3 linked regions of the Mus musculus genome follow. The protein of the gene in region 1 interacts with the protein of each later gene in a pairwise test. Links are inferred from orthologs where the notes say so. Each region holds a gene or a part of one and is shown in the gene's direction. Other genes may lie near its edges.

Region 1 (4,171 bases):
GTGTGTGATGCGTTTTGAATGCTTCTGGGAGATGCTCTCCCATTTCCCCATGACCAGAAATTCAAACCATCATATGCTTTCCTTAAACACTGCTTTCTCCAGAGATTCTCCTGTTTTAACATATTCATCTTCCAAGATGGCATCCTTTCCTCCTTGGTGTGGTTTAGTTTATTCGTTGCTAGGTGTTTTTTTCTTTACAATGGCAGCCTGGAAACAGTGGACAGGGATGAAATTTGTGGTCAAGGAGAATGGGTGTATGTGTGTGTGTTAGGGCCTCTGAAAGATACTGACAGTGTACTAAAGACAGAAACATTGCACAATATTCTGCCTTGTTCAACCACTGCAGTTATAAGGGCAATTTCTATTTTCCCAGGGACGAATTTACACTGCCTGTGTTCCCTGAGGAAGGCTACCTTTGAAATCATCAGGGCAGCAAAGAACCAAGCCTGCCCCAGGGCGCCACCTACAGACTACCTGCTTCTCCCGCACCCCGGGTTGGGACGTACGTCAGGCCTTTCTAGAACCAGTTTCCTCCTAGCCCACCTACCAGCACTCTGAACCCCTCCCCTTCTCAGGACGTCAAGGAGTCCGTCGGTCTTGGACCTAGGTGAGCTATCAAGGTTTGCTTTCCAGTGTGACCTTGAGGTCTGGCACCCGAGCCATTTCTCTGGCAGATGGTGGAGCCTGAGGCTTAGGTTCATATTCCCTGATCAAAGGTATTCCTTGCCACGTTTCCCCAACTTGGAGCTGCAGGGAATCAGGCCATCGTGACCTTGACCAGTAGGAAAGAGGAGAGAGGAGTGACTCACAGCACTCTCCCCATCCATTACAGGATTGAGGTCTCAAAATGCGTTGGACCCTATTTTAGTCACCAGAATTTGTCATCATCCGGAGCTATTTTCTTCATTACGCAGAGATGGTAGAGGCAGGCCCCTGTCTCCTTGGAGGCTGTGACGCTGTCCTGAAGGAGCGTCTGTTGGAAGGGGGGTCAGGCCTAGGAGGCCGAAGCAGGTCATAGATTTGACCTCCGAAATCTCCCGGGCTCAGTTTGGGCGATTTAGAGGTGCAGGAGAACCAGGAAAGAGAGCTGAACCGTGGAACCTGAAACCTTGGTTTTTCTCCAAAGCCAGAGAGGCCTCTTCTAGCTCCAGTCCTCTGAGTTTTCCACTAATAAATCCTGGCGTTCTAGGGACTACTGCAGGTTTCCCCAATCCAACTGTCCAGGACTGTCTCCTTTAAGGATCTCGGCTCCGCCCATCACGCTGCGCAAGCTTGAGGCCCCGCCCCTTTACCCGTTTCCGTTGAGCTGGGCCGCAGCGCCGCCGTCCCGGCCCCTTTAAGGCCGAGTCCCGCCCCCTTGCTCCCGCCCCCTCCCTTCCCCCAGCCCACTCCGGGTGCCTCGGCCGGTCGGACGGTGCGGCCCGCGACGGCGAGCATTGGAGCCTGGGGGCGCGGGGTCGAGGCCCGTAAGTCCCCGCCGCTGCGGTGGCCTCGTGGGACGGGGTCGAGGCTGGGGCGACGGGGCTGGGGGCGCGGGGCGCTGGGCGGGGACGGGCGCGGCCGGGGAGGGGGCTCAGGTGACACGAGCTGGGATCGGGACCCGCAGCTGGCGCCTGACCGGGGGTGTGGGTCCCGGTGTACGGTGGAAGGCGTCCCCGCTGTCCCTCGTCAGGTTAGAGTTCGGGTCTAGCCGTGTTTATGATGCGCTCCCCGTGCTCCCCAGGGGTCCAGGCCCTTTTGTAGAGCTGCTGTTGGCGGGTGGTGTCTGAGCTGCCGTCCGCTGGAGGGGAAGCCCGAGCCGAAAGCAGCGTTTCGAGTGGGAAGGCAGGACACAGCCTCCTCTTGGACTCCAGACACACCTCGGGGGGTGGCCCCGGGGGCCTGGCCCTTGTGGAGCCGTCGTGGGCCCATCTGCTCTAGATAGGGCCTGAGGCGTGCGTTGGGAAAGTCTGGCTTCCCGACCACAGTTCTAATCTTCTGTCCATCAGGGAAGCTGCTGGTCACCATGGCAATGCGGGAGCTGGTGGAGGGCGAATGTGGGGGTGCCAACCCGCTGATGAAGCTGGCCACCCATTTCACCCAGGACAAGGCCCTTCGGCAGGAGGGACTGAGGCCTGGCCCCTGGCCTCCGGGAGCCTCAGCAGCAGAGACCGTGAGTGTTCTAGGAGAGCCTATTTCTTCCACCTGACAGCTGCTTTCTCTGTGTTAAAGTAATAGCAGTCACCATTCAGTAACACTGGAGTGAGCCTTGTGCGGCTTTACACAGACAAGGACTACTATTTTATAGACAAAGAAGCTGAGGCTTTGTGAAGGCTCTTGACTTGCCTCAGGCCACCTAAGCAGTAGAGTTAGAGTTGGGTTGTAGCCTGCTATTGTCTCTTTCCTTCTTATCTTAGGTTTCCAAGCCTTTGGGAGTAGGAACTGAAGACGAGGTAAACAGAGCAAGTTTCTTTTCTGTCTTTTTTTTTTTTTGGGGGGGGGGGTTGTGGTGATTTTTTTTTTTTTTTAAATCAGTCCACTCATACTTCAGTCTTTGAACTCTCTTTACCAAATGAGATTGCCTGCCAATGTTTTCGTCTACTTTTTGGGGTATTTTTCTGGTTTCCAAATTTACAGATAGATTTTTTTTTTTCTTTATTTATCTCCAGTTTTCGTTTCTCTGTCCAACATCAGTGGGCCCTGCCTCTGGCTGAGGCCCTCTGATCCTAATGTTCATCCGACCATCTCTCTGTAATAGTTGGTGTCAGAATTCCTGCAGGACCAGAATGCAACTCTTGTATCCCGAGCCCCTCAGACCTTCAAGATGGATGACCTCCTGGCAGAGATGCAGGAGATTGAACAGTCAAACTTTCGCCAGGCTCCTCAGAGAGGTGGGTTCAGGGCCTGGTAAGACGGGAAGAGGCCAGAGGGCTTCCATCCTTGGGTTTTGCTGGCATCGGGGGACTGAGATGCTGAGGAGAAAAAGGAGGTGTTGCCCATGAGTGAGTGTGAAGGAACCTGTTTTCTTTTTTTCTTAGTCTTCTCTTGTCTCTTTTAAGCCCCTGGTGTGGCAGATTTGGCCTTGTCTGAGAATTGGGCCCAGGAGTTTCTTGCAGCTGGAGATGCTGTGGATGTAGCTCAAGATTATAATGAGACCGACTGGTCCCAAGAATTCATCGCCGAAGTTACAGGTGAGGCTTGTGGGGACATCTGTAGTAGTTGTTAGGGAGCATTTACATGTCCTGTGTTGCTGGGCGTCCTGATTCCTCTTGGGATGGAAGGTGATTTTCGCTACTAATGACTTTTCTAGTTTCTTGATTCATTTCTGTAGGATGTTAAATGTGACTTCTTATAACAATTGTAGGTAATCAAAACATAATAAAGAGAAAAGTGGGTTTGGTTGGAAAAAAAAGAGAGGGGGTGGAGAGGGAGAGAGAGAATATGAATGAGAGATTAGATCTGCCTCTTTATCAGTAACTTGACTGCTTAAGTCTAGTGGAGAGGAGCTAGAGATTGGATGGGTAGCCCAGGAAGAGAGCAGTATTCATCTCGGCACCTAGGACTCTGGCAATTCAACCATCTTGAGTAGGACTGGGGTCTGAGAAAATTGATTGTGGAGTTCAGAACCCTGAAGTCTGGCTAGGCTGCCTGTATATATATTGGCTTTTCATTTGTAGATTGAACAAACTGTGGATAGAAAATGGAAAATGTATGTCTGCACTAAACGTATACATGCTCTTTGAGTTTTTAGACAGGATCTCTGTAGTCCAGACTGTCCTCCAAATTCCAGTGTAACTGAGATCTTCCTGCCCTCGCCTCCTGAATGTTGGGACTACAAGTATGAACCACTATGCCTGGCCATGTGTGTGTGTGTGTGTGTGTGTGTGTGTGTGTGTGTGTGTATTCACTATTTCCTAATTGATATAATTGCTATATATGTAACATTTACATTATATAGGGTATTATAAGTCATCTAGAGATGTCAGAATAATGGGAGGATTTTTGTGGGTTATATGTAAATATATCATTTCACGTAAGAGACTTCAGTCTTCAGAACTTTGTATCTGTATGGGTTTTAGAAACTAATTTCTTTATGGATGGTCTTTGAGGGTAAAGATCATCTGTAACAATAGAAATAATATCAGCTTCTCTGTGTTAAGTGCATTGAATGTGTTGTTTACTTATCTCTGCA
Region 2 (4,212 bases), on another chromosome or scaffold:
TCCCTCCCGCCCCCCAACTCCCCACTTTGGTTTTTCAAGACAGGTTTTCTCTGTGTAGCCCTGACTGTCCTGGAAGCTGCTCTGTAGACCAGACTGGCGTCGAACTCACAGAGATCTGCCTGCCTCTGCCTCCTGAGTGCTGGGATTAAAGGCTTCCACCACCAACCCCCTTTCCCTGTATTTTTTTTTTTAAACCAAACTGATTTGTCTCAAACTCATGACCCGCCGGCCTCAACCTTTTCGCATTGGGCTTCTAAACCTGCACCCTTATTCTTTCTTTCAAAGAAAAACTAAAAGCTAAATTTATAGTAGGCTGTTTCACCTGAACCCTAAAAGCCCTGGCGTTTTCATCAGCTTTTAGCCCCTAAAGTCAAATGAGTCAGGGAGCTACCACCAATAATTCTGACACACAGCCCTGCAGAGTAAGAAAGGCACTCAGGGAGCACCACCTTGGATAAGGAAGGTGTTTGAAAACGGCTGTATCTGGAGCTCAAGAATCATTTACAAAATCAATCACCGAAAAGAACCAACCAACCAACCAATGAGCACCATTACTGCTTTGTAAAGAGGAGGCTAATGGAGGAAATTATTACTAAGGCGTTTCAATTCACTCCTCAACCAGCCTTGCGCTTGAGATAGATTCTCTCAACAAACAAATAAAACGGAAAAACAACAAGATGCAGTTACTGCGAATTCCCAGGAAAGCTCGTGAATGAAGGAGTGGGAGCAAGCGCGGCGGGTAGCAAAGGCCACGCCGGTGAGGTTTCCCTCGTTTTTCCGCAGGCACGGGGAACGTGGCTCCTCCATGCACGCCCTCCTCCTCCAGGCAGCCCTCCTCCCCACCCTCCTGCCCCGCCCTTACAGGATATCCTCGCGGAAAGAGGTGCCGTTGTTGAGGTTATGGAAGCGGACGGAGATGCAGTCCCTGACAATGAAGGAGCACCTGGTCTCCTTTTTGTAGGCGCTGAAACACTCCTTGAAGTCCTCGTAGGTCTTAAAGCAGCTGCCTAGCTCCATGGCCGGGGACTGGCCCTCCTAGAACCTAGAACCACGGCAGGGGTCAGAGGTCACTGGGTAACGGCTGGCACGGGCCCAGCTGCGGTCCCGAGTGAGTGGCTTACAGGGCGCTTGGGAGGAGCCCAGAACAGGAGGAGACCGGTAACAGCAACCTAGGGGCGACTTTGCTCAGTGACAGAAGAGGAAAGACGCTCATCCCTTATTATTCATCTCCAAGGCTCCGCCCCCTCGCTGATTCACCCAATCACACGCGGATGTCCAAAACTGACACAAATATCCTCCAATCTTAAGATAGAGCTAGCCGCGCCCACTCTGAAATTGACAAGCACATCGACCAATCACAATCTGCGTCTCGCTCCCCGGAGCCCTTGGGATTTCCGGCCCCTGGAGCGACCTTCCGGAAGCGCTGGGAGCCTATATAAGTTTCCGCGTTTCTCTCAACCGCAGCCAGCAGTGAAAATGTCAGCGCCAGAGGGTCTGGGAGATGCTCATGGCGACGCCGACCGCGGCGACCTTTCCGGGGACCTCCGTAGTGTGCTGGTCACGAGCGTGCTCAACCTCGAGCCGCTAGATGAAGATCTCTACAGGTAGCCGGTAGCGCCTCTGAACTAGGCTCGCACCCCTCTTTCAGTATAGAGTCGCGATTACTGCCATCTCCCTGTGAACCTCAGTTCTGGGGTTAAGAGTTGGATGCAAGCTCTGCTGCAGTTAGAAGGCATGTCCCTGGCATCCATCCTTGCTTCCTCTTCAGGAGGCGATCTGGGGGGTGGGGGGGGAAGGTGTGTGTGTGTGTGTGTGTGTGTGTGAGAGAGAGAGAGAGAGAGAGAGGGAGAGAGGGAGAGAGGGAGAGAGGGAGAGAGGGGACAGAGACTCCGCTACCCCACAAGGCAGCTTAATCTGGTAGACTGAGTGTGCGTGTGTGTTCGTTTGTTCAAGCCATCCCTTAATGTCTGGTAAGTCATTACTTATCTTTCACTGAAGTGGGTTTGTAACAATTTTTTTGTTTTGTTTAGAGACAAGATGTCACTAAATATAGTCCTGGATGACCTGGAATTCACTATATATATATGAATGGAGAGGGAGAGAATGAGAGAGAGAGTATATATATATACACAGCAAGTTGGCTTGGAACCCACAGGGATCCACCTTCATTTGTCTCTTAAGCGCTGGCAGGAGTTCACCACCAGGTCTAGCTGGTTGTCTTGTTTTGTTTTGAGACAGGCTTTCTGTATAGCCCTCCCTGGCTAACCTGGAACTCTGTGTAGACCTGGCTGGCCTTGAGCTCACAGAGGCCAGTGTATCTCTGCCTCCCAAATCCTGGGCTCAAAGGTGTGTACCACCATGCCTGTTCAGTGACAGTTCTGACCCATGCAGCCCTTACGACTTTATCAGAAGCTATCGTTCTTCCAGCTAGGTAATTACTGTCTTGGGCCAGGAGCGCTTTTCAAATTGTTCTGTAAAGAAAAAACTGACAATCTCAGGGTTGAGTGCTAGGACTCAGGGTTCAGGCTCCAGCACTGGGCAAGCCCTTTCACCTAGATTAATCTGCAGGTAGCCGGCAGCGCCTCTGATTTCGGCTAGATTAATCTGCATTCAGTTTCACAACCTCAGACTGTTTTTTTTTTTTTTTTTTTTTTTTTTTTTTTAAGGGAGTTATATGGGAAGTCTTGAAGTCCTTTTAGCTCTGAAACTAGTTCCTGGAAGAGCTGCCTTGTCATGGTTAAGGAGTGCCAGCAGCAAGCCTTCATCCACACAACCCAGTCCCAGATCTGTTTTTTTTGGAGTTCCTCATGTCTGTTCAAGGCCTCAACAAACTTCTGGCCTCTCCCTTTCCCTGGTTTGGGGCGGGGAAGCTGTGGACTTGAGACCTCCCAGGGTTGGTAAGGGTTGAACTGTGTGGACATGCTTCCTGTACTCTTGCTGTAAACGAGGGAGCTCGCGCTTATGTTCTGTTTGAAGTCCACAGAAAGCTTGGGTAGATGCGTGGACGAAAGATTTGTGCGGTGATGTAAGAGATTCGAGAGCAGACTCGTTGGCCTCCCTCGGGTTCTGAAAAAGGACCCAAGTAACCTTAAACCCTTTACTGGAGGCTTACGGAGTTCACAGCGCCCCTCAAGTCTTTTCCACTTTCCTCTCTCCACAGAGGAAGGCATTACTGGGTACCTACCTCCCAGCGGCTCTTTGGGGGTCAAATTATGGGCCAGGCCCTGGTGGCTGCAGCCAAGTCTGTGAGTGAAGACGTCCATGTCCACTCCCTGCACTGCTACTTTGTCCGGGCAGGTAAACCCCGCACCCTGGCGCCTTGCTTGCAGCCACACTTGGTAGCCCAGTGGTTACTTCTTCTTTCCTGGCTTTGAAGGCTAACTCAAGGGTAGGAGGAGAGTTAGCGAGGAGGATGAAGAAGGGAGAGAGAGATGATTCCCTGAAAGGTACCTGAGGGGCAGAGCATGCAGCTTAGTACTAGCACACTTGGCTAGCACCAGGAGGGGTCTGTGTTCTATCTCAGGGACCAGAACAAGCAGGGAGGGAGCCCATCACTTGGCTTAGGTCTGCAACCTCAACAGTTTGGGAGGCTGAGACAGGCTCTGGAAACAACCTGCATCCATATCACACTCACTGAGACTCATTAAGTGCATATTCTGTTTCTTTTTAAAACTCTTTTAAAAAATTATTTATTTTATATTATGTGAATACACTGTAGCTGTCTTCAGACACTCCAGAAGAGGGCGTCAGATCCCATTACAGATGGTTGTGAGCCACCACGTGGTTGCCGAGATTTGAACTCAGGACCTCTGGAGTAGCAGTCTGTGCTCTTACCCACTGAGCCATCTTTCCAGCTCCATATTCTGTTGAATGACGTGGACCAATGCTTCTCTGCTCTCAGTGGGTCTTCCCTGGAGCTTTCTTGGTTGATTTGATTTTGAGATAGGGTCTCATTGTGTAGGCCTGGCTGGCCTCAGCCTTTATGACCTCAGGCCGGGCTCTGTTCTTTCTTCATTCTTTCTGCCTGCCTCTGCCTCCCAAGAGCTGGGATTAAGGGCTTTTGCCACCATACCCAACCTTCCTTCGTTTATAAAAAATATGTATATGTATGTATGTATTTGCTTATTTTTGAGAGATAGATGTGTATATGTCTATGCCTAAATGAGTTCCACGCTGCTCTCCTGCTGTCTGAAGAGGCAGTGGGTACGCAGG
Region 3 (4,093 bases), on another chromosome or scaffold:
AAACATCTCCCTAAGGAGCACACTTAGACGGTATTTTATGCTCTTGGGTAATACTTTCTCAGGCTTTTTTTTTTTTTTTTTTTTGGTATGTCTGTTTTGAAAATATAGCCTTTGCCAGGTGGTAGTGGTAGCACATGCCTTGAATACCAGCACTGGGGAGGTAGAAGGTGACAGATCTCTATAAATTCGAGGCCAGCCTGGTTCACAGAGTTCCATGATAGCCAGAGCTACACAGAAATTGTCTAGAAACAAACAGCATATTATTATATTTATTTAGACAGGGTCTCTATAGTAATGGAACTTGCTATGTAGAAGAGGCTTGTCTTGAACTCGCAGAGATCTGCCACCTGCCCCTGTCTCTGTCTCTGTCTTTTTGGTTTTTCGAGACAGGGTTTCTCTGTGTAGCCCTGGCTGTCCTGGAACTCACTTTGTAGACCAGGCTGTCCTGGAACTCAGAAATCCGCCTGCCTCTGCCTCCCCAGTGCTGGGAGTAAAGGCATGCGCCACCCTGCCCGGATTTTTTCCCTTTTTTTTTTTTTTTTTTTTTTTTCTTTCCCTGCCCCTGTCTCTTGAGTGCTAGGATTGAAGGTATGAGGCACCACATTGAACTTCCTTGGGTTCTTTTCAGAGTCTTTGTTGCGGGGGCTGGGTGTAGGATGATCCCTTCTCAGGAGGCAAAAGGTGGAGGATACTTGAAGTTACAGGCAAGCCTGGGGTTTTATATAGACCTTACATAAATCAGGGAGAAGAGCCTGGGGATATGTTCGGTGTTAAATGTTTGCCTATGTTGCCTCAGTCCCCTCGCACCACAAAACAAAGGAGGGTGGCGTTAGAGCCATTTACTCCTGCCTACGCACTTCTAAATGTCCAGTAACCTTGAATCCGTATAACTTCCCTGGTCCAGGAGCCAACTTCTGGCGGTAAGGGAATAAAAACTGCTTAATTCTGGCCAGCCGGTATCCTAGCAACTAAACTGCTGCCCTTCTGTCCTTGACTATTTCAGTTGTCTGCATTTTGTTCCAACACAGCGTTGTGATGAACTTTATACACAATTTTCCAACAGCACTGTGAAATATTTTCTCAGGCCAGCGTCCCACTGGGCCAAAGGTTTAAGCAACGTCCCAAACACATGAGACACGAAGGAGTGCTTTTTTTTTTCGTTTGCCCTTAGTAAAGATGGCGAACTAGGTGGGACCTCGCTGCTAAAGGGCGGTGGCCGCGGTGGCTTCGGTGCCCTTGACCAACATGGCGAACGTTCGTGCCCGCCCCCTAAGTTTTTCTTCGGGAGTAAGTCGCACAGCTCCGGAGCTCCAGAAATGGCTACCGCGATGACAGTTTCCAGTAAACTCCGCGGCCTGCTGATGCAGCGTGAGTTACCCCTTAATCCGTGGGGGCTCGTTTTTGTGTCGTCTTGTTATAGCGGCGATAAGACGGGAAGTCTGCCTGGGTCGCTTTAAACTCAGGAGTCCTTTTGTAATTTAAAATGAAATTATAATTTTTTAGGTCTGTCTTTCAACCTGAATTCTTTGTCCCCAATCTTGGGTCATTTCCACAAACAAGGGTCTAATGTAGTCTCAGACTGAAACTTGGTTTTTCGAGACAGGATTTCTCTGTGTAGGCCTGGCTATCCTGGAACTCTCTGCAGACTAGGCTGGCCTCGATCTGAGATCGGACTGCTTCTGCCTTCCAAATGCTGCCTCCCAACCACCTCCTGGCTTGCATACCCTAATCTTAAAAGTTATGTCTGGTCATGCCAGCGCCCCTAAAGAGCATATACTGTTAAAATGTCCCCATTCTAGGCTCTCAAAGTCTCTTCCTTGTCTCCCCAGAGCTGAGAGGTACCAGCCAGCTGTACTTCAACATCAGCCTTCGATCTCTGAGCTCCTCTGCACAAGAGGCCTCCAAGAGAGCCCCCGAGGAAGTCTCAGACCACAACTATGAGTCTATTCAAGTCACAAGTGCCCAGAAGCATGTTCTCCACGTGCAGCTAAACCGGCCAGAGAAGAGGAATGCCATGAACAGGGCTTTCTGGAGGTCTGGCCTGCAAGCCCACAAGCCTATCTGCTAGAGGAGACAGAGGTGGGCAGGGACAGGGGCTTCCCACTCCAGATATAACCCTTTACTTCTTATGCCTCTGCAGGGAGTTGGTGGAATGCTTCCAAAAGATATCCAAAGACTCGGACTGCCGGGCTGTTGTAGTCTCCGGTGCAGGAAAGATGTTCACTTCAGGTACTTGTCTGCCTGCTGGCGCCTCTCCCCCTGCTGGGGCAGCCATGCTAGCAGTTTTCTTTGCTGATTTTGTCACTTACTCTTTTTTTTTTTCCCTCCCCTGGCTGGCCTGGAACTCTCTATTTAGACTAGGCTACTCTAGAAGTTGAAGTAATCCTCCTGCCTCAGCTTCCTAAATGTTGATGCTGGGATTGTAAACATGACTCAATGCTTTGGCCTCCTTTTGTTTCTAGAAGGAAACAAAAATACTGGGCCGGTGGCATGTGCCCTTAGTCCCAGCACTGGAGTGGCAGAGGCCAGTGGCTCTCTGGGAGTTCACGGCCATCCTGGATGACAGAGCCAGATCTAGGACAGCCAGGGCTGCACGGAGGAATCCTGTCTAGAAAAACCAAAAAGAAAAAGTTACTTTTATTTTTGTGTGCGCGTGCATGCACACGTGTGCAAAAGTTAGATGACGGCTTTTGGAAGCTGGTTCTATCCTTCCCCATGATCAAGTGGACCTGGATGCTGGTCCTGCTCGCCTGCAAGCCTTCAAACTCCTTTTCCTGCTGAGCCATCTTGCTGGCTCCATAGTGGTTCTCAATGAAAGTTTTTATTTTTATTTATTTATTTTTTAAAGACTTATGATTATATAATAATATGTAACATAAGATCCCCCTAGGGCTGGTGAGATGGCTCAGTGGGTAAGAGCACCCGACTGCTCTTCCAAAGGTCCGGAGTTCAAATCCCAGCAACCACATGGTGGCTCACAACCATCTGTAACAAGATCTGATGCCCTCTTCTGGTGTGTCTGAAGACAGCTACAGTGTACTTACATATAATAAATAAATAAATCTTTAAAAAAAAAAAAAAAAAAAAATCCCCCTAGGGCTGGACTAACAGGTTGGGTGTGATCAATTTGACAGTGTTGGCTCACAACCATCTGTAATGAAATCTCATGCCTTCTTCTGGTGCATCTGAAGACAGCTACAGTGTACTTAGATATAATAATAAATAAATCTTTTTTAAAAAGTATATAGGTTCTTAACTGTTGAGCTACGCCATTAGTCCTCAGTGGGTTTTTGTTTGGTTGGTTTTCTGAGACAGGGTTTCTCTGTGTAGCCTTGGCTATCTCGGAACTTGATCTGTAGACCAAGTTCAGGCTGGCCTGGAACACAGAGATCTGTCTGCCTCTGCCTCCTGGGCACTGGGATTTAACAGCTTGCACCACCATGCCCAGCTTTTTTTTTTTTTCTTTTTTTTTTTTTTTCAGTCTAATTTAAAACATTCACCCGTGTGTGGGTGTGTGTACTCAGGAGTTGGCTCAAAGCCCAGAATTCCCTCCCTACCACAAATTCAAGCATAGAAATTAGCTCAACAGAACCTGCTAGGATCCTGAAGTTGGATTAACCGCAGTAGATCTGTAACCTTGAATGAGGCTCTGGACCTTTCAAAACCTACAGGGGTGTCTAGCCAAGGGTGTTACATGCAGTGACTTCTGCCTACCCCTGCCCCCCCCCCCCCACGTGCACACACACACACACACACACACACACACACACGCACGGAAGTTACTCCACTACCCTTTCTCCTCTCTGACCCCTGACCCCTTCTCCACTTTAGCATGGCTTGTTTCCCAATTTTCTGTTCTGCTGTGAAACCCACCCAATGATTTTTTTTTTAATTTTATTTTATGTGCATTGGTGTTTTATGTGCCTGTGTGAGGGTGTCAGATAGCCTGGAACTGGAGTTAGAGACAGTTGTGAGCTGCCATGTGGGTGCTAGGAATTGAACCCGGGTCCTCTGGAAGAGCAGCTGGTGCTCTTACCCCCGAGCCATGTCTCCAGCTCCCACCCGGTGATCATTTTTGCTTCAGGTGTTTTGT

Evidence for each region.
Region 2: the proteins of Pex5 (region 1) and Acot8 interact in binary tests that used the Homo sapiens proteins (3 or more experiments, as listed by UniProt). The link is inferred for Mus musculus from reciprocal best matches to the Homo sapiens genes PEX5 and ACOT8.
Region 3: the proteins of Pex5 (region 1) and Ech1 interact in a two-hybrid assay, tested with the Homo sapiens proteins (2 studies listed by BioGRID and IntAct, with this or other methods). The link is inferred for Mus musculus from reciprocal best matches to the Homo sapiens genes PEX5 and ECH1.

The regions. Positions count from the first base shown.
Region 1 is NC_000072.6:124,412,268-124,416,438, reverse strand, and holds the start of Pex5 (peroxisomal targeting signal 1 receptor), read left to right. Parts: upstream 1-1,371; 5' UTR 1,372-1,466; intron 1,467-1,557; exon of another isoform or gene 1,558-1,672; intron 1,673-1,988; 5' UTR 1,989-2,005; coding exon 2,006-2,152; intron 2,153-2,396; coding exon 2,397-2,432; intron 2,433-2,737; coding exon 2,738-2,870; intron 2,871-3,038; coding exon 3,039-3,170; intron 3,171-4,171.
Region 2 is NC_000068.7:164,802,082-164,806,293, reverse strand, and holds the start of Acot8 (acyl-coenzyme A thioesterase 8), read left to right. Parts: upstream 1-1,412; 5' UTR 1,413-1,476; coding exon 1,477-1,604; coding exon of another isoform or gene 1,605-1,607; intron 1,608-1,634; exon of another isoform or gene 1,635-1,707; coding exon of another isoform or gene 1,708-1,732; intron 1,733-3,160; coding exon 3,161-3,297; exon of another isoform or gene 3,298-4,212. Other genes in the region: Zswim3 (zinc finger SWIM domain-containing protein 3), read right to left, coding at 863-1,017. UniProt on the Homo sapiens protein: Catalyzes the hydrolysis of acyl-CoAs into free fatty acids and coenzyme A (CoASH), regulating their respective intracellular levels. Displays no strong substrate specificity with respect to the carboxylic acid moiety of Acyl-CoAs.
Region 3 is NC_000073.6:28,824,045-28,828,137, forward strand, and holds the start of Ech1 (delta(3,5)-Delta(2,4)-dienoyl-CoA isomerase, mitochondrial precursor), read left to right. Parts: upstream 1-1,293; 5' UTR 1,294-1,316; coding exon 1,317-1,368; intron 1,369-1,829; coding exon 1,830-2,034; intron 2,035-2,140; coding exon 2,141-2,229; intron 2,230-4,093. UniProt on the Homo sapiens protein: Isomerization of 3-trans,5-cis-dienoyl-CoA to 2-trans,4-trans-dienoyl-CoA.